Linked DNA regions of Saccharomyces cerevisiae S288C. The gene in region 2 interacts genetically with the main gene of each other region. Each region holds a gene or a part of one and is shown on either strand. Other genes may lie near its edges.

The links.
Region 1: of PPN1 (region 2) and VTC5, changing one suppresses a phenotype caused by changing the other (phenotypic suppression), as found in Saccharomyces cerevisiae (one study listed by BioGRID).

What each region holds. Positions count from the first base shown.
Region 1 is NC_001136.10:620,388-625,541, reverse strand, and holds VTC5 (Vtc5p), read right to left. Parts: upstream 3,431-5,154; coding exon 821-3,430; downstream 1-820. Other genes in the region: ILT1 (Ilt1p), read left to right, coding at 1-476. UniProt on the Saccharomyces cerevisiae protein: Regulatory subunit of the vacuolar transporter chaperone (VTC) complex.
Region 2 is NC_001136.10:1,361,089-1,365,662, forward strand, and holds PPN1 (endopolyphosphatase), read left to right. Parts: upstream 1-1,789; coding exon 1,790-3,814; downstream 3,815-4,574. Other genes in the region: YHP1 (Yhp1p), read right to left, coding at 32-1,093; thioredoxin peroxidase TSA2, read right to left, coding at 3,984-4,574. UniProt on the Saccharomyces cerevisiae protein: Catalyzes the hydrolysis of inorganic polyphosphate (polyP) chains of many hundreds of phosphate residues into shorter lengths.

The DNA.
Region 1 (5,154 bases), 740 kb from region 2:
TAGCCAAAAGGAAAGGTCGTGTTATTGGCATCAACTTTGCCTTCTTATTCATCGATTCATTAGGTGCTTGGCTATCTATCATCAGTGTTATCCTAGGTAATATGGATATTATGGGTATTATATTATACTCAATAGTTGCTGGAATGGAGTTAGGAATTTTCGCGTCTCATTTCATATGGTGGTGTAGGTTTAGATTCCTAGCTAAAGGCAATACTTTTGACGAAGAAAGTGGCCAAGCTCAAAAGGAAGAACCCGATGAAAAAATCGAACAAGATATTAGCAAGAGTGACCGAAATGTTACTAACTATAACCTGGATAACTGTTCAATCCCCGACGATGCTTCGAGCTTTGCAGACGATTTTAATATATACGATAGTACTGATGGGGGGACGTTATCAAGAGCCCAAACATTGCATGCTGTCCATGGAGTTGTGGTTAGAACAGATCCTGATCGTTATTCGAGGCTAAGTGTGTAACGAATCTGAGTCCTTTTTAGTTAGCACGTTTTCATCTCTTTTTGATAGCACGCTTAATAATATTCACCACTAGCGCAGTAATATGGCATCTGCCGCAGGTGTAAAGGTTTTCACTTCGCTTATATTCACAATACTATGCGTTCAAACACGGCCATCAGAAAAGATCAAAATAAGGATTATTAATTAAAAACTTAAACAGAAATTCAGTTTGCAACACCCTTCGCAATGGCGAAGTTTCCAAAAACAAAATCTCCAAACAAGATTAACATTCTTCTTATGTAACCACATGATATGCATATTTTATATAGACTGTACACATGAAAAACTTTTATCGTCCAAAATAATTAAAAGAAAATTTCAATCATACCATAGCACACTGTTCCAGTAACTGAGAAAAACATTGTGAAGCAACCAACATAATGCCAGATTGGCGCCAAAGTGAACCGACTAAATAACAACAACAGGCACGCACAGATCAAAATAAGGGAAACCAGTAAGGAAATGATAATAATGGCTATGAGAATATTTTGAATTTCTAAATCTATCTCATTATTACTTTGCCCGCGAAACAAGGATAAAACGATTCCCAGACATACACTTGCCATAATGCAAGATGTTAGCAGTGCAGACAAGTATAAAAATGTAACAACTTCGTCATGCCTATATTCGTAGATAGATTGTGAGTCCTCTATGTCTTGCTGTTGATACTGTAAGTACCTTTGAACGTCATCATATGACGCTGAAGTTGATTGTGAACCAAATGACGCAACAGAACCATAGTTAGTTGATGAACAATGCGGATGCTTAGAGTTTTGAAACAAATCTGGCGATGTTTTCTTGTCATGGCGAATCAAGTTTCGTAACTTCTCACAAAAATCATATGTGCGGTTGATGAAATTCCGGCTAAACAAAATAAACCCATAATCAGGCGGAGAATTTCTCAAAAGTAAGGATTCTTCGTTATCTGTTGTACTCCTGCTTCCATTAGTATCAATGTAAAAAGCATTGTCTAAATTATCCTCTTCTTGTTCATCAAATTCATTCCAATACCTAATAGGTTTCTTTTTAGTTTCATTATCCGATTGCTTTGATTTTTTGTGAATTCGAACTCTTCTGCCGCTGTCAACACTACCTTGTGAGTTGTTTATCGGCCCAGTCAGGTCAAACTCTTCCTCTAGACGATCCTTGCCCAGCTGGAAAAATTCATCAGGTGATAGCGAATCATCGGAATTTAATTTATATTGATCTCTTAGTAAAAGTTGAAATAAATCATTTTGCAATTCATTTGAGTGTACTAATTCTAAACATATTTTCCATGTGGTTAAGTCTGGTGGTATTAAGCTGCATTGAAACTCATTTGTAACAACTGATTTCATTAACTGTTTAAACTTATTGTCTTCATTAATAGCCGTCTGTGAAAGACCACTGGATCGACTAAGCTTTTTAATTTCTAAAATTGGAAAGGGTAATGTAGATACATTTCCAATAGTGATAGATTCATCCAAAGCTATCAAGTATATATCTCCATTGTCTGCTGATATGAATCTTGTTCTTTTAAAATCTAGCTTTGGTTCAATGGTTTTTAATCGATGGGACTGAATCCACTCCAAAGCGATCTTACTGATTGGCGATGGATCCAGTGAGTTTATGAGAGCGCTAATATTTTTTGTGTCGTTGCCACTCCTCATGGCCGAAAGAATATTCTTTACATCCCTTAGAAGCAGATCATTTGTGACAACATGATTTCTTAAGCCGCCCACGTGGCACATTACTATACAAGTATCCTCAGCAGTAGAGCTGACTATCATGTTTGGGTGCTGATTTATATTATCATCAGTAAGTAGTAAAGGACTGCCTTCGTTCCCGACAGTATCTAGTATACTAATAGAAACGTACTTCTCATTGGATTGTACAGCAGAGGGTAATATGTTCTTCTGTTTAGATAGGGATAAGGTATGTTGTAAGTCATTGAATGACTTTGCTGATCTTATAGATTTGTTGCCCGCAGAATTAATATTATCTGTAGTGTCTAAAATCTCCTTTGAAGTGGATATGATGCTATCGTCAATTATCCTAAAACCAATATTCAATAGCATGAACTTCAGTCCCTCTATGTCCTCGGACGATAATAAAAACCTTCCTAGATTCTCTGCTTTATCTATGAGGGCAGTATCGAATTCTAGCGAAGAATCAATCATTTTTGAAGTTTTCTTGTTTGAAAGTAGCGGAATTGACCTTGGAGATGCTGGCAAGGAAGAATTGTTGGCTTCTGGACTTGAACTTGTATGGGCAGATTCATCGGAGCGGTTTAGGGATCTTTGCTCCACTGCTGGCTCAGTTGCATCTTCAAGTTTATTTTCCAAATCATGTAAAACATCAACAATTAGCGAAACTTCTAAAAGATATGGATCTAAATCAAGCTTCATAAATGATATGCCTTCGTGTCCATTTCGTAAACTTTCAGAGTTTCTGATCGACGTAACATACTCACTTGCAGTCAATGGATTTTCACTGTCTTGAGGAAATTCATTTAGTAATTTTTTGAATAACTTTCTCAAGGCAATCCTTTGTATTATCAAAAACCTTGACAGTAGTTGTAGTTCAAAGTTACAATCGTCTACATGAGCGTTGATGATTTTCAGTTTACGAAGGTTGAAACGGTTTCTGGAAGTTTTGTTTAAGCCCTTTGAAAAATCGATTATTGATGATTCCACAGAAAGAATACGAGTGGAAATTTCCTTTATTTTCAAAGAAACAAATAAATTAACATTTTGAAATTCCTGGTCAAAGGCTACTGAACATTGATTCAACAACTTCTCCATGCCCGAATCATTTGGATTGTCATAATCATAAGCCGTTACTTTTTTTATGGCTACTTTTAACTTCTCATAGTTAATATTGTAGAATTTCCATTCAGGGATTGATTTATTCAATATGCGATCTTCAAATTTCATGATTGTACAACCCTTCGTATCTATCCTTACCTAGGGCTGAGATGGAGATATACAAAAAAAAAGCAAAGGTAAAAAGCAAGTATTAAACTCTATCTCTATTATATTCAAGAGGGCAACGGACGAACTATTAATTTATGAATTTTAAAAGTCCTTTGATAGCGTTCACGATAGGGCTTTTTGATCTTGCCTTTGTTTATCTTTTTATCTGTTTTGTTTTTTTTTTTTTTTTTTTCTTGGTTCAGTTTTGACTCTTCCACACACCCATTTCGCTAGCGTAGAACAAGGGGAGACACAAACTTTCTTTTCCTTGCAAGTTAATAACACAACACCCGTCCTCCTGCACTGAATTTACACAGAAGTTAAGAACCGCCTCTGCTTTTCTGGTATTATTTTGCAGCCTTGCCTAAAAAAAGTGTGGTAATTTTTGAGAATAATATATTACTGTGTTTTTCGAAACGAAAGTTCTGAATATTGGCTTGGTCGCTTCCTGATATCTGGAAACTTGTTTAATGTTTTTAATTATCAGTCTTCAAAGCGTCCTGATATGACTTGCCACGTTTCCATCCATTCTATATGTAGTTTAAATACAATGAGATAAAGGGTGCCTGCATGGAACTTTCCATTCGAAAAAAGAGATCATAAACCTTATCTGTCAAATAAAAGCCAATCTATTTGATTAGGTAAAAAAAGTGATGTCAGACCAAAGTGCCCCTCTCCTGCAATGATCATCGATTACGTACGGGTGTAATGATCACGACAGTAAAGTGAGCAAGGTAACTACTATCCCTAAGTGCGGCGTCATTGTAAGTCTACGACGTAGCATATTCAGTTTACTGTACAAGAAAAGTTTTCTCTCTGTAACAAGAGGAAATTGGTTAGCTTTCTACGCTTACTTCGTTTGGTACGATCAGTAAAGGTGAATAAATTAAGATCCACGCCTTCATATGGCAGGATCCACGATATTCCTTGCAATACCCCTGGATAATTCAAAAACCAAATGTTACACGGTATACTTGAAAATCGATACCATATTAGGAACACACCGGCCAAAGGTTGATAATACTTGGTATGAGATAAAACCCGAGCTCAAGGTTTAATGTTAAAATTTTTTGTATATATATATATATAGTAATGGGCTCGGTTGCAAATTTTTATGACTATCTTGAAACTAGTTGAAATTGCAAGAACCGTCACTCTATGGAGTACATGAACAACTAAAAAATAGCTTGAAGATACTTGCCACTCCATGCCATTTCTAGAAAGGGGTCTCTTGAGAAATGTGTGTTAAAATAACGGTTATATAGTTGGAAAGAATATTACTATTTTGCGATTAAGGGATGCCGTATGGCAGGCAAGGAAGTATTTGATCAAGAATACCGATTAATGAAGCATGTTTGCCATTATCGTTGAACCTTGGTATTTCTCAGGTTTCCTTATCGATACGATAGGAATGAGAATCAACTAACATTTATCGACTACAATTCATTATTACTACTATATTATCAAATGCTCTGCAAGGAGATGACCAAAAAGAAATGAGAAACAGTCTTCATCTCAAAATATAGGCAATTACCAGGTATACGATATTTCCTCAAAATGAAAATGCCTAAAATACGACAGAAAAACTTAGGGTGACGACTTTTTAACTAATCACTGAATGCAGCCGAAGCAAGTAATTATTTCCCTCGTTGCTACTCATTGAGGCCGCTCCATATGGAGATTTG
Region 2 (4,574 bases):
CAGTGCTCAAGAAAATAAACACTGAGAAAGATTAGTTTTTGAAAGAATTGAGATCGACCTCCCCAAGGGGTTTTCTTTCGTATGCATTGAACTTTAGGCGGTTTTCCTTGCCTTTAGGACTTTTGATAATCTCGCTATGACCGGTATTTGATAATGTTCTCTTAACAAGCACAGATTTCCTGTGGAACTTGAGCTGTCCGCCGGGCTTGCAAGGCGTTATGTGGTGGTCTTCGAAGATCGAGGACGTATTGGCAGGTGAAGTTTTCAGCAACTCTGCAGTAATAGCCTCCTTCGTACTCGTTGGCGTAGAGGTAATTTCCAACGCAGCGTCTGAGTAAGATATCATAGACATCGAATCATTAGAGTGAACTTTGCAATGGCTGGTGTTGCCACTGTTCTTGTGCTTTTTAGCAGCCTGCCTTTTGTTCTGAAACCATATTTGAACCGATTTTTCGGACATATTACATTGCTCGGATAACTCTATCCTTTTAGCCTTATTGGGCGTGGGACATTCGTCAAATGCTGTTTGCAATATCCCAAGCTCATATGATGAAGTTCTTCTTCTTTTCCGACGAGCTAACCGAGCATTGTCTATCTTAGGCTCCTTCTTTGGAAAAGTTTCCTGTGAGTGTGTAATAAAGGCAAATGACCTTTTCTTTTCTTTTCTTGTGGTTGGTGTGAGAACAGCCTTTGCAGCAGATAGAGGAGTAAGAATATTAACTTTTTTATAAGAGTGCATACTCTGAGGTGGCTGCTCTTTAGAACAGACTCTGACCGTTGGCGTGAATGGTGAATGAGAGCTCAGCTTCTTGGGCTTGGATAAAGGCGTCATGGAAGTGGTTACACGTTGTGATAAGAAATCCACAGCCTGTGGACTTTTCCTTTTTGGCCTTTCCTCATCGCAAGGACTTTTATAAATATTTACCACTGGTCTCACAATGTGCGCAGATGCAGCTAATGGTGGCAACCTGATGTCACCTTGGTCATCACTAGGGAAGTTTGTATTTGGCAAAGTATGCAGTTGGAAAGGCGAATTAGAAGTACCTGTAATAATGTTTGGTAAAGAAGGAAGCACGGTATTTCTGCTTTCCATGTTATATATATACGATATTTTGTGTTATTGTTATTTCCCTACAAATGCTAGTTACACTGGCTGGCGAGGGTAAAGAAGAAGATAATACGAATTATAATCTACGTTGGCAAGATCGGGAGGACGCCATATATATATTTATAAACATTCATCTGTGTGATCCAGATCAAACAAATAAACAATGAGTAAACGAAAAATCTGGCTGAAATGTCTCATGCTATTAACCCAATTCAGCATTGATATTAAAAATACCGACGTATCCCTGCACGGAAAGCGCGTCTGATGTTTACCATTCCGGGTTTTTGGCGCGCGTCATGTCCAAATTAGGACGTGGTTTATAGCCGAAAGAGGAAATGTGATCTGCCCACCTGTGCGGCCCTTCTCTGAGCGTTTCGAGCAGGATGCATAATATGCTCCCTTCGTACGGTAGAGGACAAATATGACCATTACCCGACTATTGAGGACATATGTCGTTATTAGAATTTAGCACCTTTAAAGTTATATTGCACTTTTAATTACCAAGATTCATTTGAGAGTGTAAAGGGTTTTATGGTAGAATACAAGTCAGAAGAAGGCTAAAATCAACAGATCAATATTTTTTTTGGTTGTTGGGTTGGAGAATTATAAAGTTTTTTTGATCTCCTTGTCTCCAGCTATTGTTTTCATTGAGTAGGGGTAGAGCTAGTTAGCTGCTTTTCGATGGTTGTAGTGGGTAAGAGTGAAGTGCGCAATGTAAGCATGAGTAGGCCGAAGAAGAAATCATTGATTGCCATCCTGTCGACCTGTGTTTTGTTTTTCCTCGTGTTTATAATTGGTGCTAAATTTCAATATGTTTCCGTTTTCTCCAAATTCTTAGATGACAGGGGGGACAACGAGTCACTTCAATTGCTCAATGACATAGAATTTACAAGGCTAGGACTGACACCTAGGGAGCCAGTAATTATCAAAGACGTAAAGACAGGGAAGGAGAGAAAATTACATGGACGGTTCCTTCATATTACCGATATTCATCCTGACCCTTATTATGTGGAAGGAAGCTCTATTGATGCAGTTTGTCACACAGGAAAACCAAGCAAAAAAAAGGATGTGGCACCCAAGTTTGGGAAGGCAATGTCTGGATGTGATTCTCCCGTTATTTTAATGGAAGAAACTCTGAGATGGATTAAAGAAAATCTTAGAGATAAGATTGATTTTGTCATTTGGACGGGTGATAATATCAGACATGACAATGACCGGAAACATCCAAGAACAGAAGCACAAATTTTTGATATGAACAATATCGTTGCTGATAAAATGACAGAATTATTTAGTGCTGGCAATGAAGAAGATCCAAGAGATTTTGATGTGTCTGTCATTCCAAGTCTTGGAAACAATGATGTCTTTCCACATAACATGTTTGCACTAGGACCAACTCTACAAACTAGAGAATATTATAGGATTTGGAAAAATTTTGTTCCGCAGCAGCAGCAAAGAACTTTTGATAGGAGTGCTTCATTTTTGACTGAAGTTATTCCAGGGAAGCTTGCTGTCCTGTCAATTAACACGCTGTACTTATTCAAGGCCAATCCGTTAGTTGACAATTGTAATTCAAAAAAAGAACCAGGTTACCAACTTTTACTTTGGTTCGGTTATGTATTAGAAGAACTAAGGAGTAGGGGAATGAAAGTATGGTTAAGTGGACATGTACCTCCAATCGCAAAAAATTTCGATCAGTCGTGCTACGATAAGTTCACGCTATGGACTCACGAATACAGGGATATAATCATTGGAGGATTATACGGTCACATGAATATTGACCACTTCATCCCAACGGATGGTAAAAAAGCTAGAAAATCGTTATTGAAAGCCATGGAGCAATCCACTCGTGTTCAACAAGGAGAAGACAGTAATGAAGAGGACGAAGAAACTGAATTGAATAGAATTCTGGATCACGCTATGGCGGCAAAAGAAGTTTTTTTAATGGGAGCGAAACCATCTAACAAAGAAGCATATATGAACACCGTCCGCGACACATACTATCGGAAAGTGTGGAATAAGCTGGAAAGAGTGGATGAAAAAAATGTTGAAAATGAGAAGAAAAAGAAAGAAAAGAAGGACAAAAAAAAGAAAAAGCCAATCACTAGAAAAGAGCTCATTGAACGCTATTCCATTGTGAACATAGGTGGTTCAGTCATTCCAACTTTCAATCCTTCCTTTAGGATCTGGGAATATAACATCACCGACATAGTGAATGACTCCAATTTTGCAGTTTCGGAGTATAAGCCCTGGGATGAATTTTTCGAGTCACTAAATAAGATTATGGAAGACTCTTTGCTAGAAGATGAAATGGACAGCAGTAATATCGAGGTTGGGATCAACCGCGAGAAGATGGGCGAAAAGAAAAACAAGAAGAAAAAGAAAAATGACAAGACTATGCCAATTGAGATGCCAGACAAATACGAACTCGGCCCTGCATATGTACCGCAGTTATTCACTCCGACGCGTTTCGTCCAATTCTACGCCGACTTGGAAAAAATCAATCAAGAATTACATAATTCATTTGTTGAATCTAAGGATATTTTCAGGTATGAGATAGAATATACCTCAGACGAGAAACCATACTCAATGGATTCGTTAACAGTAGGAAGTTATTTGGATCTTGCAGGCAGATTATACGAAAACAAACCTGCATGGGAAAAATACGTCGAATGGTCATTTGCGTCTTCTGGATATAAAGATGATTAAGTTAATATACACATAGAAATGCATATCATTCTTCAATTACAGTTTCTTTTTCTTTTGTTACACTATTCTTTCAAGTCAATTTCATAATAATACAAAACCATCTTTCTTATCATATATAGGGTGATGTATTTTTAATTATTTAATAGGGCCTAGCGTTATCGTGCGAAGATTAATTATTGGCATTTTTGAAATACTCCTTGGAATCTTTAACGTCAGGTTTGATGGTGGCGGCTCCTGGGGTCCAGTTGCATGGCAAAACTGTACCATTTTTGTCAGTCCACTGGAAACCTTCGACTAATCTCAAAGCTTCATTGACGTTTCTGCCAACAGATAAATCATTGATAGTGATATGTCTAATGATTCCCTTCGGGTCGATTATGAACAAACCTCTTAAAGCTATACCTTCTTTTTCAATCAAAACGCCATAGTCTCTGGATAAGGAATGATTCTTATCAGCAAGCAAAGGAACTTTAACTGGACCTAATCCACCGTCTTTTCTGGGAAGGTTGGTCCATGCCAGTAAGGAATATTCAGAGTCGGTGGAGGCAAATAAAACTTGGGCGCCCTGATCTTCGAATTTCTTGGCGGCATCGGAAAACGCAACAATCTCAGTTGGACAGACAAATGAAAAAGCCAATGGGACAAAAGCTAGAACAACGTACTTACCTTTATACTTTTCCAGTGAAATTTCCTCGAAGATACCGTCGACTACGGCGGTTTTCTTAAATGGTGGGGCTTGTTTTTGAACTTCTGCTACCAT